2 linked regions of the Styela clava genome follow. The protein of the gene in region 1 interacts with the protein of each later gene in a pairwise test. Links are inferred from orthologs where the notes say so. Each region holds a gene or a part of one and is shown on either strand. Other genes may lie near its edges.

Region 1 (7,075 bases):
ATTTATCAATCATTTTTTTAATAAACCCTAAGGCTTTGCTAGTTATCTAAATTCCATAATCAGTTCTTATTCCTTTTCTTTAGATTATTTTCTGTCTGTCTGTTATGCCTGTATGCTGGTTTTAGAATAGGTAACGATACTTATACCCACTTTTCTAAGTTTAAATCTGCAAATGCAGGAATCCCCCTTGATTTGAAGGACTTTTTGTCATAGTTTTTCATAAATCTATATATCCTTATTGTTATAATAGAAGAGCACTGGTATAAAATATGTCCTTTTTATTGCTTCACTGTGGCATAATCATCGATGCACCCAGTGTGTGTTTGAAGGTTTGTTTAAATCCCATGGGGATAATTATGTGTGGGAGGATTGCTGGACTTCTCATCGCCATACAGCCATAGGGAGCTGCTGGTCGATTACGGCTTCTTCCACCATAAAGTTCATGCATCTGAAACAATTAACTAGGTAACTTTTTTCACATGGTACCTGACATGGACTGGTAACCGGACGTAGACCATGGTATGTCATATGATTATACCTTGTTATCGACTTCTCCCCAGTCCCCGGTATAAAATAACGTCTAATCCTATTCTTGTTTGGTGTGTAAATAATTTTTTTTCATTCTCATATTTTTGAATTGTTGATTAGGAGTTGAAACTTATAATGTTTATATGATTTGAAAAAACTTTTTAGTTGAAATTCACCATTGGAAATGTTAATTCGTTAAGACCAAAGCTCAAATTAAGATTGATCGACTGGAATCTGACAATTGGAATTTGGGCAGTTTGCGAGTGTCTATAATACAGTAATATAGTATTTGTTGGTTTATACTACAACTCTGCCACTGATTCACACTGTCATAACAACTCATGTACCATTACTTGCTGACCATAGCCACTATATGGGTACTGAGTGCTTCATTACTGCATTACCCATATCAATTATTACTGTATTACAGTACCATATAGCCCAGGGATGGCTTTGATTAAATATGTATGATCCACATTCTTCTTTACCACAATAAAAATGTAATTTTTGACCCATTTATTAAAAAAGGTTCGCCATCCCTGATATAGTCCATTATGACACTCTTACTGTTGAATCAATTCATGACATTTGAAGATGATGAAACAAATATACAAATAACATCTGAATTAAACATTTGTCCACTTATAGTGGGTGGAAGAGTCAACTCGTTTAAAGTTGCTTATTGTTCAATAGTTCATAAAAATGAATATATTATTGTAGTAACAATTATAGTGTTTGAGATATTGGGTCACCTAAAAATTGTACACTCAAATTCCATAATTAATGCTTTGTACCGCAACTTCGAACACTCTCATGAATACTGAGAATTGGGATACATTACTGTATTTATTTGAAATTGAATTGCGCTTTGCGTTTGATTTGATTTATATTTAACAATGGAATTTATGAGAGGCGTTTTTGTATGCCTGCAGGCTGCAGCTGATATGGTTGCTAAAAGGAAAGAAATACCAATTTAATATAATATTAGTACGGTATCATATAGCCTACATACATTGTCTCATCTTTACTAGCTGAGTAGCGTGTTCTTCACTTTTAAATCACTGAGATCAAATTTTAAAACTATATATAAGTTTCAATGTAATTCATACTGAAAACTCATATCTTCAGTCTGTTATTGGATGATTAAAATTTGATTATGGAAGTTGTTATAGCGGACAGCGAGTACCAGTCTTCCTCACTGGAAAGGATAAATAATTTGAGAGAATATGGGCTTTATTGTGATTTTGTTATAGTAGTTGAAGAGGAGAAGCTTCCTGTACACAAAAATGTTATTGCTGCAAATTCTGATTACTTTCGGGCAATGCTCAGCCATGACACAAAAGAAAGCATGGAAGGAACAGTTGAAATCCAAGATGTTCAAATCAAAGCTGTTAGAATATGCATTGCTTACATCTACACTGGTATCGCATCATTTGAAAACGATGATATATTAGAAGTCTACCACACTGCTGATGTTTTCCAACTTCATAGACTTGTGACTAACATATTGAAACATCTTACTGAACAAATGAGCAGAGAGAATGTTTTCATTTCGAAGCAATTGGCCAGAAAATATGATTTCAAGGATTTGGATGAAAAATGTGACAAGTATGCTATTGATCACTTTGTTGCGATCATGAAAACTACTGCATTCCTGCAACTTGAATCAGAGTATTTGATTTATTTGGTTTCATCACAGAAAAATAAGGATACTCGTGAAGAACAAGTTTGTGATGCAATCATAAAGTGGGTTGAATATGACATCAAGCCTAGAAAAGAGCTGTTTCCAGAACTACTACAGCTTGTTGATCTGAATCTCATGGGTTTGCCTTATAGAAGACATCTTGTTGAAAATGAAGTTCTCATCAATTCGAGCTCAGAAAGTCTAACTAAAACAGCTTTGTCTGTGTTCAAATCTCATCTCAAAGTCTCTTCTTTGAGCTGTGATCAGACAGTTGCTCCATCCTATCAAAACAAAGTTGTGGTTCTTGATGGATCTCCAGAATTCATCAGAGAGTATGATGGCCATAGAAAGGTTTGGGAAGAAACAGAGATAGTAAGCAGTGATGCCATCAGTGGTTGTGATAATTATAGTGCTGTTTATGTTGATCCGTATATATTCATCTTGTCGGATGATAAGTCAGTATATCGACTCAAATATACGAAGGATCCAAATGCTATGTGGATAAAGGTGTCAAGTATGCTTAAAGATCATGGTGCAAGACCACCTGCTATTGCACATGATGGTGCAATTTATGTTATAGGATTGGGAAATGAATCACCAGGGAAAACTACAGCATCAGGTGAGAAGTACTCTGTCCCAGAGGATCGTTGGACACCTCTACCTGATATGTCTGAAGAAAAAGACATGAATGCCTTGGCTGCTGTTGGTCATAGCATATACAGCTGTGGTGGTCTGTTAAGAAAAACACCTTTAAACACTGTTGAGAAATTGAATCTGAAGACAATGCATTGGCAAGGAGTTGCATCAATGAAGACTCCTAGATATGGTGCTGCTGCGGTGACTTATAATGACAAGATTTATGTTATTGGAGGTGAAAATACAACTGTTCTATCATATGCTGAATTCTATGATACCATCACTGGTGTATGGACCGACATCTTGCAAATGACAATGCCTAGAAACTATTGTCATGGATTCGTACACGACAACAAAATATATGCTGTTTCTGGAATATGGGGGACCAATTTTTTTGGAGAACCAGTGGAAGCTTATGACATAGAGAAAAATACTTGGGAAAGACAAACACGTTTCCTGGCACCAGTGAGAGAGATAACTTGGGTTCTTTCAATGTGATCGACATATTCTGTTATAGCTGCTGTGAAAGAATATTGAATATACTATTCAATTTTAAATCACGGAGGAAGTTACTACAATATTGTTTCTAAATTATGAGTATTCAAACTTCGATTCATGACATGTTTAAAAAAGCTTTGTAAATATGTTAGCTATACATAATTTAGAATTGTATATTTCAAATCAAATAATTTAGTGGGATTTATGTTTGCCATATGTTTACACAACGTACCGTAGTTCCTCGTTTTGTTGAAGTTTAGTCACTGCCAATTACAAACACCGCTTTTTTGTTTTGTCTCACATTTTGTTCCTTTTCAATCATCCGTTTGCTCCAGGCTGCTTGTCATTAATACATAAGTTGTATTCTGTTTTGAATGTCTTTCAAGTTGACCTAATTTGCATTGATGAAAAATATTTTGACCAAAGAGCGAGGGACATATTCCGCTCAGTGATTTATACACCATTTGCCTTTATTTGTTATAAAAAAATCAAATTGGGATATTTACATTGCAATAATGATTGATATTATCTATAAAAGTGCTGTATAAAAAAGTTTTCTGTCTGGCATGTATGCCAGATTCAGGATTTCAATAAATTATTCAGAACTTAAAATGTCTCTTGGGCCTATGCTGCTTTTTTGTTTTGTTATGATGCATGACATAGTTAAGTGTAAAATCCTGTAATTTTTTGTGTAGATACAGCTAACTTATAGTTATATAAATATTACTGTCTGCTGGTACATAAACTCAAGATTTTGTAGGATTAATAGTTAGGACACTGTACTGATTGAGCTTGCATAAGTCATCTTCATTTTCTTCGTATGGCCTCATCTGATTCAGTAATATATGGACATAAAAATCACCAGGTATTCTTATATTTTCTGATTTTTTTTATAAACATATAAATAAACAATAATTGTTTATCAATTGAAATATTGGAAATTCAATATTCTCACACTAATGTTTTTTAAAACAAACATACCATAATAGAAGATTGATATTATTATGAAATCATGATTTTATAAAAATTTTCATTCACCATGATGAGATATACCATCAATAATTGACTCTGTTCAATGTGCACAAAGTACTATTTTTTGGATATATCCCAATTACAAATCAATTTTATTATAGCCATATAGTTTAACATTATATCTAGTAGAATTTTCCTTTTTTTGCAAAATGAAACCAGTGGCACAGTTAGTAATGACATCTTTTCTATTTTGTTCTCGAAAGTGCACCAAAATCAAACCACTCCTTTCTCCTGTCATATAATTTATCTTATATACAGAAAGTGGTTTTGGTTTTCTTCATTAAATGAATTTGTTGAAGCAATCTTCGCTGTATTGTGTGTGTATATGGCTGTGCTGAGAAAATAGCAACTCATAACATGTTTCGATTTATTTTCAGTTGAATGTCCACAGACTGGTGAGAGTAAAAGTCTTATCTGGTCATAATCTTGCTAAGAAGGATATATTTGGTGCCAGGTACTAATTTCTCCTATTATGCATATCTGTTTCTTCATTATGTCTACTGCAAATTACTATTTTTTATTATTATGGTAGAGATTTTGACATATTTTAAGGATCTGAGCTTTGTTCTAAGAAAGGTGTCAAGTACTTTTTGCTTAAAATCTTGTGTGTAATAAATGGCTCTTGAGATGAGCGTTCTGCTAATCAGACAAGAGTAGATCGTTAGTGAGTGATTGAAGTAGATTGGCCAAAGAGGGTTTAAGAAATATACATTATTACATTAGTCATACAAATATTATGCGAAATCAATCATTGATTTTAATAATTTTAGTGATCCATACGTGAAGGTATCTCTCTATCGACCAAAGCGAATATCACTCGGGCAATCCTATGAAAGCTATGGAACTGCAACAACCAAAACAAAGAAAAAAGTACGAAATTTCCTCTGATTTATATGATTCCTAGTATTTGATAGATGTTTCCACATCACTTTACAATAGTCATAACGCAATGTTTAACTGGGGTCAGTAAAGTCATGAAATATGAATTCATTTTAGGTTTCTTTCCCCGCAGATCAGGATCAATGACTGTTTACATAAAACTATGTAGACTATGTATATTATGTTTTAAAATGTCATTTACTTTAACATTACTACTGGTTTAAAATCTTGTTTATCATGGATTAGAGTTAGCTGTTTTCTGAATTTTGATTTTCTGAATTTTGCGTAAGAATTACTATTATGGAATATGAAATAACATTCAAACTAGTCAAATATTTTAATATTGGCGAAAGAAAGATCTACGGTAACAATTGTAATTTTGATAATACCCAGTTTCATAATATGATTCAATGTGTTTTTCAACTAAAATTAGGATTGTAACGGTGAAATTGCTTGGATTTAAAAGTCGACAAAACAAACTTTTCTAATAGGCACTCATCACTTCCTTACTTAATCTTGAGATTTGATTCACTTTCACGTTATTCTATTTACCGGTACACACTTTAATGTTCAATATAATTCGGTTTTCTGAATAAAAATAATAGATCACAGCCAATTATGCTACTTCAATTTCCCTCTATTATGTATGTCTCAGAATAATATTATGTAGCAAAGTTGATAACCATTTCATTTTATTTTCCGATATTTTTAGACCTTGAATCCAAAATGGGAGGAAGAATTTACTTTTAGAGTAAGTATTATATGGGATGCTCCGATAGCATTCAAGTGATGTATTGATTGTTTGAGATTCTGACTGATTTTGGACAATAATTTCATTTTTAAATGGTAAAACTAAATTATGTGTCCTGTTAATCCACTCTGAGAAGTTTAACTAATAACTTGATTTATTGTTGTGATCATTGCAATTACAACAAACCATCAAAATTTGTTTGAACAGAAGCAAGGTTTTAAGAATCAATTGAAATTAGGCAAATCTTGCTCACATCATGTGATTTTGGTATATTAGAATTGGAACGGTATGTCTTAGAACCTGCTGCCTGAATCTAAGCCATGCCCACTTCTTATAATTCAAATGCTGATAATAAGACTATAAACAAAAATGGAAGTGAGGTAATGATGTCAAAGAATCAGAAACAGAATATTTTTGTGGACCAGTTTCGCACTCTACTTGATATTTTATATCACACATAAGTATATGTAATCCTAATATTGAACTCCTGTAAATTATTGAAAAGCACACATATATACATATTAGCCCACAATCACATGTATTTCTCGTCCTTCATGATATATATCGGTAATGTAACAAAAGCGGAATTATGGCCAGAATTTCATTGGCCTTTTTTTGTAGTTCCGAAAAATTTGAGAGTCTTCTAGAATAAAACTTGTCTAGTGGAACAATAATAACTTATGTAACATACGGTAATAATAATATAGGTTGTGATAAATTCAGTTTAAAATGTAATAGCCAGACTTGTTGAGTATCATTGGCCTGTATGTAGTTTGCCTCTGTTATTCCAATTTCTCTTGTTCTCATATGCTCCCGTCAAATTTTAATTGTTTCTTCCACTTTATCAGGTGGTACCAAAGGAAAACAGACTACTGTTTGAAGTTTTTGATGAAAACAGAGTGGTGAGTTGTATTTCGAATTGACTAAATATTTTGCTATTTGGTGTTTTTTTAGTTTGCGAAAATGATCTCAAATACCAGGAGAGCTTATTTTGAAGTTGTAGGCTACTTTGGTTTCGAGAATGCTATAAATTTTCAAATTTAAATGTTATAGATTCATCTAATATA
Region 2 (7,005 bases), on another chromosome or scaffold:
GAGGTGTTCCGTGGCCGAAAAAGTTTGGGAAACGCTGCCCTAGCTTTACTAGGTCCTGTGTAAAGCTGGGCATTTCGAATCGAATAGTCAATTATTCGAATCGGTTCAGAGCAAAATTTTGTTTTTTTTCCTTTCCGTCAATCAATGGTCGAGGTGATTTTCTCATATTTTATCATTTGAAGCCATATTTTTTCAACGCAATCCAGACATGACTATTTTCTGTAGTGAGTTATTGATAAAACGTGTTTCTTATTGTGTGTGAACGCTCAGCAATCTGTCCGAGTGATTTATTCTATTTCTCTCAGTAATTCATTTGTTGACAGGACCAATCACAATAAAAAAATCGCATTCAATTATATATCTCAAAAGTATTCGAAATTCGATTCGAAAAAAATATTCGATTCGATTCTGAAATCATCGGGTATATATATTCAAAAATGCCCAGCCCTAGTCCTGTGGCAATGATGATTCATACGTTTTGTGCCAACGTGAATTTGAAAGCTAAATGATTCGACTCACAACCGTAGTATTCTTTAATTTAGAGTATTCTTTTTTACAGTAACTTACCGTACCTACCTACATTGCGTCACCGGTATAGAATAACTTCCTACTTCCGCGTTGCAAGATTTTGCAAAATAAAAGCGCAAATGAGACTGTACGCGGATTAAAAACGGGGTTCCCATGATTAAAATATAACACAGCGAAATTTTGGATGAAATATTAGATCTCATAGAATTCATAAAAGTAATTGGGACTTCCGGGTACAGTACCGGTAAAATTCCATACTTTAGTTATTGAAATGTGCAATTCATCTCGCTTTGTCATGTGACTTCATGAGGTATGCTTTGTTGATATGTGTAAAAAGTGCAATTCTCTTTTACTGCAATTGCTAGTGTTGTACCCGGTCCTATGGCGCGTCAATGAAACTCATTGTCGGTATTGTTGTATCTTTCGTTTGGCCCAGAAAGTCTTGTTTAATCATTGTTCGACTTTTGTTTTAGGCTGTTTTAAACTTTTTAAATTGAACTTGCTAAGCAAAATTACTGTGTGTTGCAAGTTAATTTTACAGACTCGCAACTCTTGGAAGCTGATCACGTGAGCTCGTGATGCGTATGTATAGTTAAAGAGAAATATGTCAGCCCACGTGATTTTGTTCACTGTACAAATATTGCTCCTTTTGTTTACAGCCTATATTAGAACCCATCTGACAAAGTGTAGCACATGGGTAGAATAAATAGTTTGCGAATGAGACGGGCTGTAATTCTTTTGACTTCAGATTAGTGAAGGTACAAATATCACCCAGAAAACTTTAAAATATTATTTATGACTCGGCATTGGATATCTAAATGGCTTTCGTACTAAAGGGCAGGCTACTCAGCTGACCCCTCTGAAAAATTGATGAAAACTCAAGGAGCAAAATGATTAGTTTTCGAAAGGACGAACAGTTAAAGCGATTGATAATATAGACCTGATGCTGGCACGTCTAACACTCCGAGTGAGATTATCGCCCTTGCGCGTGTGTATGTTGTTTTAAAGAATTCTATGTAGTTTTAGATTCGGCAAGTTTCTTCTACTGTTCCAGTTATTTGAATTGTTTGCTATTCCTAGCCGCAATAACAACGAATCACAAGCAAAGAATTGTATAACAGTAACTCGGATACGCGTGCTTGAGTATTTGATTTGAATGTTTGCTATTCCTAGCCGCAATAACAACGAATCACAAGCAAAGAATTGTATAACGGTAACTCGGATATGCGTACTTGAGTATTCGTAAAATGTATATATATTCAATAATTTCTCTCAAAACTATTCTTCCTACTTGCGTGTAGTAGGTAGGCCCTGTTTGACCTATATATGTGCGTTAATCTTTTTATTAAATTCCAATCCCGATTTTTTTTTGGGCATACTAATGTAATTCAAATAAACGAGGAGCATGATCACTAATTTTCAAGATTAGAAATTAGAGACGGTCGGCTGTCCTCAAATGGTCATTCTTTGTTTGAAACCGGTCATAAGATACTGGGGTTGTAACGATGCGCTCACCTTCGAATGAATGGATAAATGCCTGAGGCAAGTAATATATGTAACACAATGGACAAATTTGTTTTGGTAGTTTGGTTTGGAGGATGGTAAGGATAGGTATAAAACTATCGTTGGGGACAGTGGCGATTAGGCTGGTTAAGAATATATCGCCAATAGTTCAAGAACAGTTCTACTAGACAGCAGGGTGATCAGAATAATCGCGTTTTGTCGACAGGGAATGAATAAACAACGTGTGATAATATGAATGGATAGATATATTTATCCGATAGTCAATTTTAATCAACCATGGGCTGCAATTTTGACAAAATATTTGATTGTTGGGGGAATAACGGGATTGTAAGAAATCGGAACTTTTATGAAATCTAAGCAGGTGATGGATAAATTTTGCGATTCACTCCAAGTGATCCCACGAACAACCATGCCAAACACTTCGCATTGCAAGTCCACGTTTTATCATTATTTTTGTATTTCCGATGTTCGAAACACTTTTACATCAATTCATGGTGAAAAAATTATTCTCAACAATTTTGGAGCTTTATACTAATTGACAAACCCAACGATGAATGTTTTAAAAATTGTGAACTCGTAGTGTGTTTCTTGTGAGTGGTGATCTCGCTGCGAAATGACAAACAAAACCTTTATATACGCACAAAGGTTACGCGTGATCTGTTCAAAATATTGACTTGTTTTAACATGATAGTGAGAATGGGAATCGTGAGATGGATGTTTGTATGAGTTAAATGAGCGTAGAAATTTTACGTAAAGCGTTTCTCGTGGTTACGTGAAAGCTGTATGAGCGAGACGTTGAAGGCAGCGGTGCTTTACGAGTGGTTGTTGAACTGAATGGAAACAATTTGGTTTCCACTTTGATCCGGAGGTAAACTGATTACGTTCAAATGTTTTTCCAGTTATACTTGATAGACTAAACTTTATCGACATAATAAGACGACATCTTCTGTTGTTCCTAGTGACTATATTTAAATGAAACATGATAGGCTGGGATTAATAAGTAGTATTAGATTTCTGTACTCTTTGAACTCTTTTGTGTGCACCATTGTGTGCGGACGTATATACATGCCATTAAAGAATAATAGTCTAGTTTTAGTTGCCATGGCGATATAGTGAGGCTATTATGAATGTGTTCTGTAGTCATTTCAACGATGCTATGTATAATCGATCAGTTGACTTTTATCTGCGTGATACATATTTGCAAAGTTGATAGCATTACGTATAAACTGCTTTATCACTACATGCATAATATCAGCGTAGAACGTTGTTGAAGAGTACGAGAGCAGTCATTTTTTTATTGTGAATAGTTGTGAATGTATATTGGTACATGGTTAACGGTTTTAGGGCAATACAAAATTATCGCTGTGTGATTGAAAGGTATAAATTAATGAAACAGCCAGTTGAAGAATGTTGTGGAATGTACATTGCCAATTTTGATGGGTGCTTTACGTAGGCCTACCATATACGTCTCGGTTTAGCCGGGACAGTCCCGATTTTAGCGGGTTGTCTCAGCCGGTAGACGTAAATGTCCAGTTATGCAGTGAATGTTTTTTCAATTCGATGGTAACACAAATATTTTTTTAACAAAGGCATCCGACGTACCACTGATTTGCAACTCACTTCAGAAGTTCAGATAGAGGAAGAAATTGTTATGTCATGGTTAAGATATATATAATTATGAACCAAAATGTAAATTTAACACCCAACTAATATGTCGCTGAATCATCAAAATGTCGAAAACAAAGTGCAAGTTTTCTAATTAGATGAAGAAAAATTTTCATCATTTGGAGTTTTGGTTTTTTCTATTACAAACTATTACAGAACTAGCTCGGTTTTATATTTCTTGCAATACGAAATAGTATATTAGGAACAAACAATTATTCACTCGCTTTTCTGCGACTGGATCTTCCAGATCTATACAGCGAAGTCTATTTTGAACATAAAAAATGTTTTTGTAATTTAGAAAAAATATTTTTTACCTTAAAATTCCGTGAATAAATTCCAAATATGCCGAGTCTACAAACATTTCGAGTTATTTTCTCTGATCAAAAGACAATCTACAAACCCGGTGATACAATATCGGGGACTGTGGAAGTTTCGCTCAGCGAAGCAATGCAAATGAAAGGTATATAATATACGATATTTTTCCGTTCCATTGAATCTTTTATTTCATTATATAAAATTATAGCTTAACAATAATTTTTTGTTTTGTCTCCATTGGCTGTATATGGCATTGGCAGTGTATGTACATCACCGAAATGGCTGTATTTGTAAATTAAGTTGGCAGTATATGTATAAGACATTGGCTGTGTATGTACATCACCGAAATGGCTGTATTTGTGTATTGAGTTGGAAGTATATGTAGATTTAGTTGGCGCTATATGTATATTTTGGGATGCACATGTATATCACGATTGTTTGGTACATATACCGTGATAGATAGAATTTTTGTTGCAGTGTATAGGAAATTACATAAACGAGGTTCTTAAAATTTATACAGCAGGACGAATACCTTGTCAAATATATAATGTAGTAGGACAAGAGCTCCGAGTTGCAGAAGGACTTTTTGATTATTAATCTGTTAAACTAAATTTGGGTGGTGGCGTATTTTAAATGCTCGAACTTGGTTCCGAGCCAATGAATCGTCGCGACTTCTATATCTGTATATGAAGACCAATACCTCGGCTTCCATCATTGGGTTCAAAAAATGCTTCGACTCGAAAAATTCGACATTGGAAATGTCGAATCAGTAGAGTTTATAAGTACAAACCCGGCTTCAATTTCTATACTTGCAAAACCGACATCCACTGTTTGTGACTGCAAAGGTCACGCCTTACATGATAGCAGACGATCATCAATTATGATTGATTGCCGATATTGCAATTGAGAAATTTTTACAAGCATTCAAGTTGCAGCAAAATAAAACATTAAAACGAAATATTTTCTTCAGAATATTCTTTGTTTTTATTCACCATAGAATTAAAAGTAAAGATCACTGGCAAAGCACATGTTGGATGGCATGAATATTACGGACAAAACAATCATGTTTATCATTACAATAAGCAAGGTCTTTTCAAAGAGAAAACAATTGTGTATGGCGAAGGTACGTTTGTGAAAAATAAAAAACGTTAAGATTTTGTTTTACTTCCTGAAAGCAATTGGTTAGTAATTAAATGGAAAAGTGTTTAATAATTTGAATCTAACACAAATAAGGTATAAACTTTGTTAAAAGCAAGGTCACAGCTCTCAAATATACAGATCTGTGAGCCCTCACAACTATTAAAATCATTCCCGACTATGGGATGAAGAAACAGACCATATTATCAGTATTCAAATTTTCTACACAGGGGGTTCTAGCGCCGATGACGCAACAACTTTAGCACAAGGAAGCCATTCTTTTCCATTTAGCTTTCGTCTCCCATCACCTTTGCCGTCTTCATATGAAGGTAAGTCTAAGAAGAATACTTCGATTGGTTGATAAAAATCATTGATGTCTCTTCTCCATGTTTAAATAAAAATATTTGTGTTGAAAATAACAGACATAGAATAGCCTAGAATCTGGGCCCTAGATGGACATAAGATAGGAGTAAGATTCTACTAAATTTCGGGCTGTGAAAAACACAACATTACTCCATACATCGCAATATGTTTCACGTAGGACATTCAGATTGAGTACGAAAAATGCCAAGTCCTAATATATATAAATATATTATAGAAAATAAGGAAAATACCCAAACGAGCGGAATTTCGCTAATTTGCCCGACAGACCAGACCTCTGGCGATACTTGACTGATTTTAGAACAAGAATTGAAATTGAATTTCATTTATTGATAACTTCGCTAATATATATGACTATATATACAGATAAAATCGGGTACGTACGATACTACGCCAAAGCGAAAATTGTTAGACCGTGGAAATATGATCACAATACAAAAAGTATGTTTACATTGTTGGACATATTAGATCTCAACAAGGAACAGGACATGATGGTGAGAGTCAAAAATAAAATAAAATCCTTATATCTTATATATAGAAGTCAGTTATATATAGAACTATAGAAGTATAGTTCTGACGACAAGGCCATCTTTTTTGACCCTTTTGTGACGTTATGTGATTTCCTATGTGATGAGTATAGTGGGACATTCTTAATTGTTGCGTTGCGGCGCATCTCATCTATTCACCAGCCATTGTACAGCTTGTAGACGCTTTGTTTATTGTCTCTCTTTGAGTTGTATTGGGAAGTTGTGCCGCTGTTGTCAGTGAATTGCGTTCAGTTGTACGCGAGTTTCTATGCTTAGCAGAAAGCACGTACGTAACAAACTCGCTCGCTATTCTTTGATAACTGAATGTGAATACACAGTAATACAAATGAAAAATTGCAGCATTGAATAAGCTACTTCGATTCAAAATGTTAAGTAACCAATACTACAAAACATGTTTTTATATATATTTTATTATCTAATCAAGACTCCTCGGAGTCACTGGCAGTTATTATATTTGGTGTAGTTGGTTCAATTCCGTCTTAGCATTGTTTGATTATTTCATCTTCTTCTTATGAGGAGATTTATATTGACTGTGTAGGATAGGATTTACATATTTATCCCGGGGGAGAGGAAAGTCGATAAGATGGTTTAACCATATGGCGAACCACGGCTTCTCGTCCGGTTACCATTCCATGTTCGGTATGGGATTAGTTATAGTTATTTGTTATTGTAAGCATGGACCTGATGGTGGAGGAAGACGTAACCGAGCAGGGGTTAAGTGAACCACCCTTCGGCGGCAAGGAGTCCGGCAATCCTCTCGCACGTAACTATCCCCGCAAGGGATCCGAACCTGCGAACCCACGCAGAGTAATCAGGGGTGCGGTGGCTAGCGTATTCCTAACGCTTAGTACGATGAGCCACATCGCCGCGTTACCACAGCTATATCGGGCTATCCACCAGGGCATCT

The links.
Region 2: the proteins of E3 ubiquitin-protein ligase NEDD4-like (region 1) and arrestin domain-containing protein 3-like interact in binary tests that used the Homo sapiens proteins (3 or more experiments, as listed by UniProt). The link is inferred for Styela clava from reciprocal best matches to the Homo sapiens genes NEDD4L and ARRDC3.

What each region holds. Positions count from the first base shown.
Region 1 is NC_135257.1:7,635,152-7,642,226, reverse strand, and holds the start of E3 ubiquitin-protein ligase NEDD4-like, read left to right. Parts: upstream 1-4,069; 5' UTR 4,070-4,166; coding exon 4,167-4,211; intron 4,212-4,755; coding exon 4,756-4,832; intron 4,833-5,148; coding exon 5,149-5,248; intron 5,249-5,969; coding exon 5,970-6,008; intron 6,009-6,856; coding exon 6,857-6,910; intron 6,911-7,075. Other genes in the region: kelch-like protein 7, read left to right, coding at 1,685-3,346. UniProt on the Homo sapiens protein: E3 ubiquitin-protein ligase that mediates the polyubiquitination of lysine and cysteine residues on target proteins and is thereby implicated in the regulation of various signaling pathways including autophagy, innate immunity or DNA repair.
Region 2 is NC_135255.1:15,214,190-15,221,194, forward strand, and holds the start of arrestin domain-containing protein 3-like, read left to right. Parts: upstream 1-3,987; 5' UTR 3,988-4,059; coding exon 4,060-4,177; intron 4,178-5,029; coding exon 5,030-5,155; intron 5,156-5,399; coding exon 5,400-5,498; intron 5,499-5,916; coding exon 5,917-6,044; intron 6,045-7,005. UniProt on the Homo sapiens protein: Adapter protein that plays a role in regulating cell-surface expression of adrenergic receptors and probably also other G protein-coupled receptors.